Arabidopsis thaliana: one gene and its partners. The protein of the gene in region 3 interacts with the protein of the main gene of each other region in a pairwise test. Each region holds a gene or a part of one and is shown on either strand. Other genes may lie near its edges.

Region 1 (3,395 bases), on a different chromosome or scaffold from region 3:
CTGACATGCGTGATCATATGTTTATATTAGGAAAATGCTGTTGCTTGAAGCAAGTAAAAACTGTTTTAGAAATAAGTTAATTTTAAAGCATATTAAAATAACAAAGAAATGTACGTACAAACGTAAGGGACAACGAACAGACAAAAAAAACAAACAGTAGATGGGAGAGATCCGAGGTGTGTAAGAAATATTGAAATAAAGGCCAAATTTTATTGAAAATTGAATCGGTCCTTCAAGTAGTAGTATTAATTTATTTGAGTTTTTCTTTCCCGACGCATAATAATTTGGTTCCATTAAATATGACAGTGCCTAAACAATAACAATAGGCAGAGTTAGATCCAAATGTTAGCTACATGATGCAATAGTACGCGTGCGGTGGTGTGTTTACGCGTGATCCTATAATCTCGAGGTCTCAGCTTTTCCAATTTAAAATTCTATATAAGTTTTGGCTTGTGACTTGTTGCTCGGGCTTTCATCCGTACAAATGTGTTTACTTCATCTTACCTGATGATATTTGGGCTCATTTTTGGGCTTACCAGGATTACTGATAGCATCTGGACCAGATTTTTTCTTTCTTTCTTAATTTCTAGTTAGAACCCATAAGGAAATATTTGTGTGTTACAAGCTAACATGTGGTGTTGCACAAGATTTTGTTGGTGCATATTGTGCATCAAATGGAGATTCTAGTTAAAACTCACTAGAAAAATTGAATGAAAACTGCTAAAAAAAACGAAAAAAAAAAAAAAATTACAATCTAAGCTAAGGAAAAAGGACTACAAGAGTGGTTTTGGGGTTGGATTAAGTTTTTTATTTGTTTTCGATTCTCTGGGTATGGTAAGCCCTTTGAATAAGATGATAAGTGTGAGTTATATCATGCTGGTGAAAGTATATTATAATCTATGTATGTACCAACTAGTAGTTGCTAATAGGTCTTTAACGGATCGATGAGGACAAAGAGGCTGACTTTGTAAGTCTTGTGACTCTTGTTATTTCACAAAACTATTTTGGTTTAACAACATTGATACAAAACAAAAACAAAAAAACTATTTTGGTTTAGTAATGGAAAGTTTAATATGTACAAAAAGGCTTTTGACTTTTGATAAACAATAAGTGTTTTACAAGTTGTGTTCGATTTCTCATCGGACATGGAGTATTATAGTTAATTAAGCGGACAAAAAAACAAATATATTTTGTATACTTGTAGTTAGGAAACTGTGTTAAATAGCCCGAGCTACTTGTTAGTTGTTGCAATCATTGAACGTATCGATGATTGTTAGCCGAAACTCGTACATCTTTTTTTCTCGAAGAAAAGAAGTTTCATACATTTTTTCATTACAGAACATTTATCTTCTTTTCAAGCAAAAATTCAGAGTAGGAGGATATTGATATTCACATACAAGAAGCTCAATTAGCCGATTCTGTCTAAAAATAGGTACGTAAGATTTTAAATTGCCCAATTGCAAAAGAAATATCGTCTGTTGTTTATTTATTTCAACAGGGTGAATTAATGTATATATACAAGAAAACAATGTCCATGATATAATTTATAATACCCAGCAATTTGGGGATAACAAATAGATTAATGGTTTCAGCTGCCTGTAAGTAGGTTTAATTATTTATTTTATACTTTTAAAAGCCGATAGTTTTGAACATTTTCATAAATTTCTTATTACGTAAAAGGAGAGAAGTAAATCCATTTCAACCATCTGCAGCCAACCTTGCATGGTCACAGCCAGTAATATTCAAAGATGACCAAATATGAAGACATCTCCACCAAAATAATATTGCAATTTATTTCTGAAATAACTAAAATCGCTTGAACTATATTTTAAATTTTTGAAGAAGTGGAAAAGTTGCAAAGGGGAATGCTTGCAATTTCATATAAAAAAAGAGCAATTCAAGATTTTCGGCCCTTGAGTTTTTGATGTGTTAGAAATTAATAATCAACAGGATATACCTGAGGCATGTTATAATACTATTCAACGACAACGGCCGTTTTACTATAAAACTGTAATCGTAAATAAATAAAGTCAACGGTCAGAATCGTTGGCTGCAATAAAATACGATTTATTTAGTTTTAACCATACTTACACGCAAATGTAATTCTACATATATACGTATTATATCAACAAGAACTCTGTTTATTTTCAAAGCTTTCTTGATCTTTCATTCTCCATTCTCTTGATATATTCACCTACCATGATTCCAACAAGATGCAATGAGATCAACGGCTCACGTCCTTCGTCGCTAAAACTCGCCGGAGAATCCCACACCATCAAGAAAACGTCGTCTTGCAAGTCGAAGCCACGACCACATGGACGGGCATCTCCGGTTATCATCTACGCGCATTCTCCAAAAGTGATCCACACGCGTGCCGAAGACTTCATGGCCCTGGTTCAAAGGCTGACGGGTCTAGACGAGATTATTAGACGGAACACTAGTGAATCTTCCTCTTCTGTTGTGACGGAAGAGGTTAACGTCGGGGATGATAACACGGCGGCTCCGTTTAGTCAGGATAGAACACAACGACAGAAGTTAACTGATATGCCGTTGTTCACACCGAGCTCGATGACCTTGTTTGGTTCTCCAACTCAACTTATGTATATGTCACCGAACCGGACCGATTCATTTCGACCCTTGGTTTTTAAGTCCGAATAAGACTTCTTAGCAAAAAAAAAAAAAAGTTCCAATAAGACTTCCCATAAAATATGCTTTTATGATTTCTATTTTATATGTATACAATTGGTTTGTTCATTCGTTCGTTCATAAGTTGTTTCACTGTGATTAGTTGGTGTAAATGTCACTTAACTTTACAAACTAAAAACAATGTCACTTAATATCTGTATTTGGTTGTTTTAAACATGAAAGTTAAGGGTTTACCTGTTCTTTTTACATAAATTATTCCATAAATCTCAGCGACAACGTGTGGGCTTCAACAAAATATTTGAAGACCAGAAATGCATTATTGGGCTTCGCATTAAAATGAGCTTCAAGCTCATCTTAGAAAGTTTTTCTAATGACGGTCTATGTGCCATCTTAACAATTCTTTGAGGAAGTTTTATAACTAGAAAAAATGTAAAACTGAAGGTGGAGATGAGTATTAGTTATTTTTATTGATTTCTAGTAGCCTCCCCAAAGTAAAACAGTAGTAGAAATTTTGGAAACATTAAAACCAAGTAGAAAAAACTGGAAACTAATGGCATACAATTAAATAAATTGTGTTTTATTTTGTTAAGTGTAGCATGTTCACCTCAACAAATTGATAGTTCATCTGAAACTGAGACCATCAGGAGAGGCTAAAAAAAGAGTCCTTTTCTTGATATAATTTTGTTATAGACCTTTAGGGCCCTCTTCCTGAGCCCAAATAACTTATTAAAACATATTTATCTCTATAT
Region 2 (2,988 bases), on a different chromosome or scaffold from region 3:
TCAAAATTATCTCTTTTAAATGATTTTTTTATCCTGTCACAAAAAAAAACATATCCTTGTTTTATTTAGCTTTGGAAAAAAAAACAAGAAACTTGATATATCTTTTCAGACATCACATACTCTGCTTCAATGGCTACATCTCTTCAAACCAAATACACTCTAAATCCCATCACAAACAACATCCCAAGAAGCCACCGTCCATCGTTTCTCCGTGTCACTTCCACCACCAACTCTCAGCCTAACCATGAGATGAAGCTTGTTGTTGAGCAACGACTTGTGAATCCTCCTCTCTCCAACGACCCAACTCTACAATCTACATGGACTCACCGGTTATGGGTTGCAGCTGGCTGCACCACCGTGTTTGTCTCTTTTTCCAAATCAATCATTGGAGCATTTGGTTCTCATCTCTGGCTCGAACCATCTTTAGCCGGTTTCGCCGGGTATATCTTAGCAGATCTAGGTTCTGGTGTGTACCACTGGGCCACCGATAACTACGGTGATGAGTCTACGCCTCTAGTAGGAATCCATATCGAAGACTCTCAAGATCATCACAAGTGTCCATGGACAATCACCAAACGGCAATTTGCAAACAATCTACATTTTATGGCTCGAGGCACAACCTTGATAGTTCTCCCACTAGACCTTGCTTTTGATGACCATGTGGTTCATGGCTTTGTAAGCATGTTTGCATTTTGTGTATTGTTTTGTCAGTTGTTCCATGCTTGGGCTCATGGAACGAAGAGCAAGCTTCCACCTCTTGTGGTTGGGTTGCAAGACATTGGGCTTCTTGTTTCACGGATACATCACATGAATCATCACCGAGCACCGTATAACAACAATTACTGCGTAGTGAGTGGGGTGTGGAACAAGGTTTTGGATGAAAGCAATGTCTTTAAGGCAATGGAGATGGTGTTGTATATCCAACTTGGGGTGAGACCGAGGTCATGGACCGAGCCAAACTACGAATGACGGAAGAAACCGACATATCCAAATGTTAGCCGTCACTTTTAGCTATATTCTTCGCTTTAAGTGGGAAAAACTCGATTTTTTAGCCGCGGCTTCGAGATTAATTTATATTTAGTTTAAGATATAATATGTCAAAAACCAAATGTTTTCTTTTACTTAAAAACATGTAGATCACAATTGTGATAGATTTGATAAGTTTAATATATCATTTTTGGGTAAATGTAACAATTTCTAAAATGTTTGCATTGTATGGAAAGTGATATTCAAGGTTTGTAGATAGGATATCTTTCTCCGTTATACATATTTTTTTTTTCTATGCGGATAATTGAGTCTCATCACTTATCGAGATATCTCTTTACATTATTGCTTTTACTCTGACACTCGGAAGCAAAAGTTTTGTTTGCTTGTTATATTGTGTAGTTGTGGACCTAAACAGTTTTCAGGATCCTAACGGAAGGTAACTAATTAAGGCACAACCTTATTTCATACCACCCAACCAAAGTTCAAATGTTTAATTTATATCTAATAATTTCTTATGCGTTAATATATACTTAATCTTTTAAATAAAATTAAATTACATACCTAATTTATCAAATTATATGCAAAATTATATATTCTGCTGACGTTAGATACCACATATTTGATGATAATGATGACATGAATGCCATGTTACTAATGACACCGTTGCCATGTCATCTAGATTATTTTTTAACAAAAACTACGTTAATCCAAAAATGTACTCATTGCTTTTCACCTAACATTTAAATAAACAAGAAAATAAAAATAGTTAGCACACCCACGTTGACATTTCAATTCCATGAATCATCCCATCTCGTTCCCATTCATTTCACTTAAAAGTCAAAAACCAAGTAAGCCGCAAAAGAAGATCATAAAACCCAAAATGACTTACACGCTTCAAAACGTTGACATAATAATGCCGTCCACACACTTATAAATACTTATATGTGTACACACAAAGCCATCAAGGTAAGACACTTCGCTTCAAATCATTTGTGTATTACAGAAACTTCTGATCGTCATGGAAGCTACTTCACAACCATGTTTCTCTCATAACTCCTCACTTCATTCGACCCGTAAGCAACCGGCAAAGCCATGGAAAAAACCCGTAACGGGCTTGCCTCAGAGGATGCATCCTAAAGTTTACAGAGTCGAGCCTGTTAACTTCAAGGAGTTAGTTCAGAGGCTAACTGGTGCAGAAGACGTTGAGCAAGAGGTACATCAAGTTGAAGCTAAACCAGTCAAGATTTCTGATGATACAACAACAGCTAAGGATAATCCGTTCGCGTTTGATCTTTCACCTTCGTCATCTCGGTTCTGGGAAGCTTTCCCTCTGCTTAGTCCTGCTAATCTATCAAGATGGTAGCAAGAAAGAAGCTATTCTTGCCAATTTTTCGGCAATTCATGAATTTGTTTCATCAGAATTAGAACTGTAGTAGTAACACTTTATGATCTTATCTTTAAATACAAAAGTTACTGTTACATTACAAAACTACAATTTGATATAACCAATGATTCAAAACCGACCTTTTCGAACATTTGTTTACGAAATTTACGCGCTACCTATTGATCCCAGTAGTTTCTCAGCTGCGACATGTGAAGAAGAAGCTCGTCTCTGCCTAAACCAGATACACTACTCGTCAAAATCCAAGGAGGATGTACTTTAAAATTCTCTCTAATGATTTGTTGGAAAGCTTTAATGTTCTCATCAGGTCTTTTCCCTTTCGTTGCTTTCATTTTATCGCATTTCGTAAACACGAAAGTCATCGGTACCTGAAAAATCATCGAAAAACGTCATTTAACAAGTCCTCAAAGCAACATTTCACTGAACACACAAAAGCCAGAATTGGTACCACATACATTGTTGCGACCAAGCCAATTAGCACAATCAAGATCAATCTTCTGAGGAGGAACACTTGCATCGATGAGAAGTAGAACACAAACAAGACTGTCTCTATTCAAGAAGTAACCTTTAGTAAACGCAGACCAATCTGTTTTCGCAGC
Region 3 (4,296 bases):
ACAGCAAACTCGATGATAATTGAAAAGATGGAACTTTTTGGAACTGACCAAGTAAGCAGCAAAACCCAGATACACATTCGAATTACATCTCTTTGAATCAACAAAGGACACATTTTTTTTCCAATACGACCAAGTAAAGCCTAACTCAGATCCGTAAAATTGAAAAATTGAATTTGGGGGAAGAAACTAACAGAGGGATTAGAAGGATCGGAGGGACGATGTTGACTGAAATTGTGAGGATCAAAGGAAGGCAAATCACCCAGAATCGACGCCATTGGAATCGTGATTGATGATCTTTCCTTCTCTTCAGACAGAGAGAGAGAGAGACGAGAGATATAAAAGGGAGAAACGAAAAAGGGTTTATGGGCCCATTGGGCCTACCTCTAGAACCAGCTTCAAATTAATGTTTCTCTAAATAACAATAGAGATTCTGTTTTTTATATATGAATATGAATAAAGAAACAATTTATTTACAAAAAAAGAAAAAAAAAATATGAATAAACAATTATGGTTCATAGGAATATTTCAAGAAAATTAATTAAGTGCCTATATCAACAAGGTTCACTTTTTGATTCTATAATTTGTGTTGAAATTTTTTTAGTAAACGTATTTGAGTTAATCGGTTCAAGATATAATCTATTAAGAAATTATTTTCAAATTTGTGCGAGTGAAAATAAAATTATGGAATCTGCGGATGGTTTATGTTGGAGTGTTATATTTTTATAGAATCGATAAGTGAATTTGATTTCGTAAGTATTCTCCAAAATTGTTTTCTAGACTAGTCAAATTGATTAATTTTTTTTTATATTTTGATCTCAATTCACTTTCATTCATAAATATGAATTAATAAAATTCCATCTTCCTTCGATGACCATCGAAACTGAAAATATTTATCTTTCAATTGTGTAATTTCACTGTTTTTTTCCTTAAGAAAGAGTCTGAAAAAGATGAGGAAGAAAGAAAAACACATGCACTCTCTTCTTCGCATATATGTCTTTCAGTGAGATTAATGTTGGTTTTTTACATATGTAGCATTCATTATAGGTCAAAGGAAACTTCCACGTGTTTATAGAGTTAAAAGGCTTGATTTATTTTGGGGGTCAAATAAGATTCTTAACCACTACAACCATAATAACATGTTTATGTTGAATTAGTCGCTTATCCGTATTAAATTTAGAGCCACGCCACTTGAATTGTATGAGATACATAAAAAAAACAAGGAAACTAAATCATTCTACTTAGCATTTTACCAAGTTACATTGATTTTGACTCTAAATTCAACCTGAACATACGTTTTATGATGTATGTATGCAATGTCTACTACACCTTTCCACTATAAGTTCAATTAAATTGATAGGATTCAATGGTTTACTAGTATATGATCGTACAGTATATCATGTGTGTTCGAAAGAAAAACAAAAACAAAAGTCACTTAAAATATATAGTTGAATCAAGTACAATTGATGATCTATGAAACTTTTAATTAACATATACATGTGAGGTATGACTAAAAACACTAATTAATACTAATTACTTAAAGATATTTAGGTACGTATATTCGAGTAGTAAATATTTATTGAAATATAACCACATGTCGACATATTAGACCAAGCCAATACAAATCTCTCATATAAAAAAGAAGAAAAAGAAGAAAAAAAGAGATAGGAAAAATGAGGGAGATAATAATAAAAGTTTAATAACACAAGGAAACTAAATGGAGGTAAAAAGCAGTTGAACAGAAAATTAGGTGAACTTAGTTGGCCTCAATGCCCTTTTACCCTTACTTCTTCTTCTTCTCCTTCTTTTTTCTTCACAATCTATCATTACACATCTATAAATATTGTGAGAGATAGAGAAAGAAAGAGACTTATAACAATGGACAGAGAAGACATAAATCCTATGTTAAGCCGCCTAGATGTCGAAAACAACAACACCTTCTCTTCCTTTGTAGACAAAACCCTAATGATGATGCCTCCATCAACATTTTCCGGTGAAGTGGAACCTTCATCTTCTTCTTCTTGGTATCCAGAAAGCTTTCATGTGCATGCGCCGCCATTACCACCTGAGAATGATCAAATAGGTGAGAAAGGGAAGGAGCTGAAAGAGAAGAGATCGAGGAAAGTTCCAAGGATTGCGTTTCATACGAGGAGCGATGATGATGTTCTTGATGATGGTTATCGTTGGCGAAAATATGGGCAGAAATCTGTCAAGCACAATGCTCATCCCAGGTACTTTTACCTATATAGTTGTATTAATTAAGAGTATTTATAATTTTATTCGTGAATCTATGACATCATATTAAAATTGATTTCCAAATATTGGATCGACCAAAAACTTTCGTGGCTACAAAACATTAGGTTAGCTTAACAACCAGTACGATCTAGTCTTGTGTTTAACATTAAACTGATATATGTAGAAAATGTATCTTTTAGTTGCAAAAATACCATAGTTTTTAGGTTTAGCTAGTAATAGTTATATAACGAAATCAATCCCTTACTAAAGCCTATAACGAAATCTGTCGTACGTACTTTTCGAAAATTTATGATGTGATGATAATTTTCGAAAACAAAGCATGAGAATAGATGTGATTTTTAAAAAAGGATTATCCTATAGTTTTCTTTTCTGATAATTTGATTATCCTATAATATAGTTAATTATTGTGCAATTATATAATCTTAGAAACATGTATAAACCTGATATAGGGATTCTCTTTATGTGCTACCACATCCGAGTATGAAATTGTTTGGAAAGGGATGATTTACTCAAATATGTATAATGTATCCATCAATATTCTGGTCAAGAAAATGATCTTAATTAGTTCTAGATCAGTATAAAATATATAGTTTCTTATGGGCTTATGGCTCATATATATATGAAAACTTCATCCAGATGAAAAGTAATTTAATTTGCTTCCTTGTTTTTTATTCCTTTTTGCTAGGGAATCAAAAGCAGAGATAAATCCAATTCTACTTCATTTTATATGATATTTACGTTCTTAGCAAAAAATAGAAAAAAAAAATAGTTTCATGAGACTTCATAGAAATTAAAATCAGTCTTGCATAGACACCCAAAACTTCTACTTATTTTTCATATGAATTATAAAAAAAAATTTGAAGAATTAATAGATGAAACTATTAATCTTGTGTCACAAAATGCAGGAGCTATTACAGATGTACGTACCACACATGCAACGTGAAGAAACAAGTGCAGAGATTGGCAAAAGATCCAAACGTCGTCGTAACGACCTACGAAGGCGTTCATAACCATCCTTGTGAGAAGCTCATGGAGACTCTTAATCCTCTTCTCAGGCAACTCCAGTTCCTCTCCAGTTTCTCTAATCTTTGAATATATAATGGCTTAATTAATGGTGTAATTACTTAAAGGTGATTAAGGTGTTAATCACCCCACTGACCGTTTGACGACCCACATCTCCCAAGTGACAAGTCACAAGTGTGTAGATCAGATTTTAAACCAATGTAACAGTTACGACTTTTTACAAATGTTTCTGAATTTTATCCCCTGATTTCTGGTTTATGATCGGTTTACGCCGATGATTTGACAAATACCAGACAAAACAAGTTTAGTTACATATGTAAGTATGAAAAGGTAGTTTCCTCTAACTTCATTAAACCCACCCTCATTCTCTACAACTTCTTTGATATTTTTCTACATACTTAACAGAGAGAAGTTAGGGTCCAGACATTTGGTAACTAGAGAATTCTAAAGAAGAAAAACATGCTTCAGAGAGAGAGAAAACTTGTACAAATAATCAACCGGAAGACATTTGAAAGATGATACGTTGTCGATTTTTGTTTGTGATTACTCTTTCAAATCCCAAAATTCATCACTAAACCGGCCAAAGTATGTATTATGGTCCTTTATGCATAAATGTCTTACACAAGAAAACCAAAACACTTTGCATCCAAAACCTAACTAACTCAAACTAGTTCTGGGCAAAAAAAAACCAGTTCAGAAAACTAAGGGAACTTATTGGGTACAAGAGTAATTGATAACACTTATAGTTTGATCGTCATTACAAGTTAACAGCAAGCTAAATACAAACTAATCCCTCATAAACAGAATACGACTTGCGCACCGGAATCCTAAACTCTGTTCATGGCGTGGGAAAGTGATAAAGTTACTAATTTATTATGTTAAGTGTTGTGTCCTAACTCCTAAGTACCAACTTCCCCTTGTTCTAGCCTCTCAAGTTCTCCATCAAGATGTCGGTCCAGTAGGCCTAACAATGCCAGGAGGAGCGGGCACCGGATGGTTTCGGTTTCCTAAAACTGTCTC

Evidence for each region.
Region 1: the proteins of WRKY24 (region 3) and PDE337 interact in a two-hybrid assay, tested with the Arabidopsis thaliana proteins (2 studies listed by BioGRID).
Region 2: the proteins of WRKY24 (region 3) and AT2G22880 interact in a two-hybrid assay, tested with the Arabidopsis thaliana proteins (2 studies listed by BioGRID).

What each region holds. Positions count from the first base shown.
Region 1 is NC_003070.9:25,660,984-25,664,378, reverse strand, and holds PDE337 (VQ motif-containing protein), read left to right. Parts: upstream 1-2,102; 5' UTR 2,103-2,199; coding exon 2,200-2,658; 3' UTR 2,659-2,892; downstream 2,893-3,395.
Region 2 is NC_003071.7:9,740,481-9,743,468, reverse strand, and holds AT2G22880 (VQ motif-containing protein), read left to right. Parts: upstream 1-2,005; coding exon 2,006-2,350; downstream 2,351-2,988. Other genes in the region: AT2G22890 (Kua-ubiquitin conjugating enzyme hybrid localization domain-containing protein), read left to right, coding at 130-969; EMB2001 (P-loop containing nucleoside triphosphate hydrolases superfamily protein), read right to left, coding at 2,548-2,757, 2,845-2,988.
Region 3 is NC_003076.8:16,622,345-16,626,640, forward strand, and holds WRKY24 (WRKY DNA-binding protein 24), read left to right. Parts: upstream 1-1,812; 5' UTR 1,813-1,875; coding exon 1,876-2,228; intron 2,229-3,158; coding exon 3,159-3,345; 3' UTR 3,346-3,633; downstream 3,634-4,296. Other genes in the region: AT5G41560 (DET1 complexing ubiquitin ligase), read right to left, coding at 192-275; AT5G41580 (RING/U-box superfamily protein), read right to left, coding at 4,219-4,296. UniProt on the Arabidopsis thaliana protein: Transcription factor. Interacts specifically with the W box (5'-(T)TGAC[CT]-3'), a frequently occurring elicitor-responsive cis-acting element.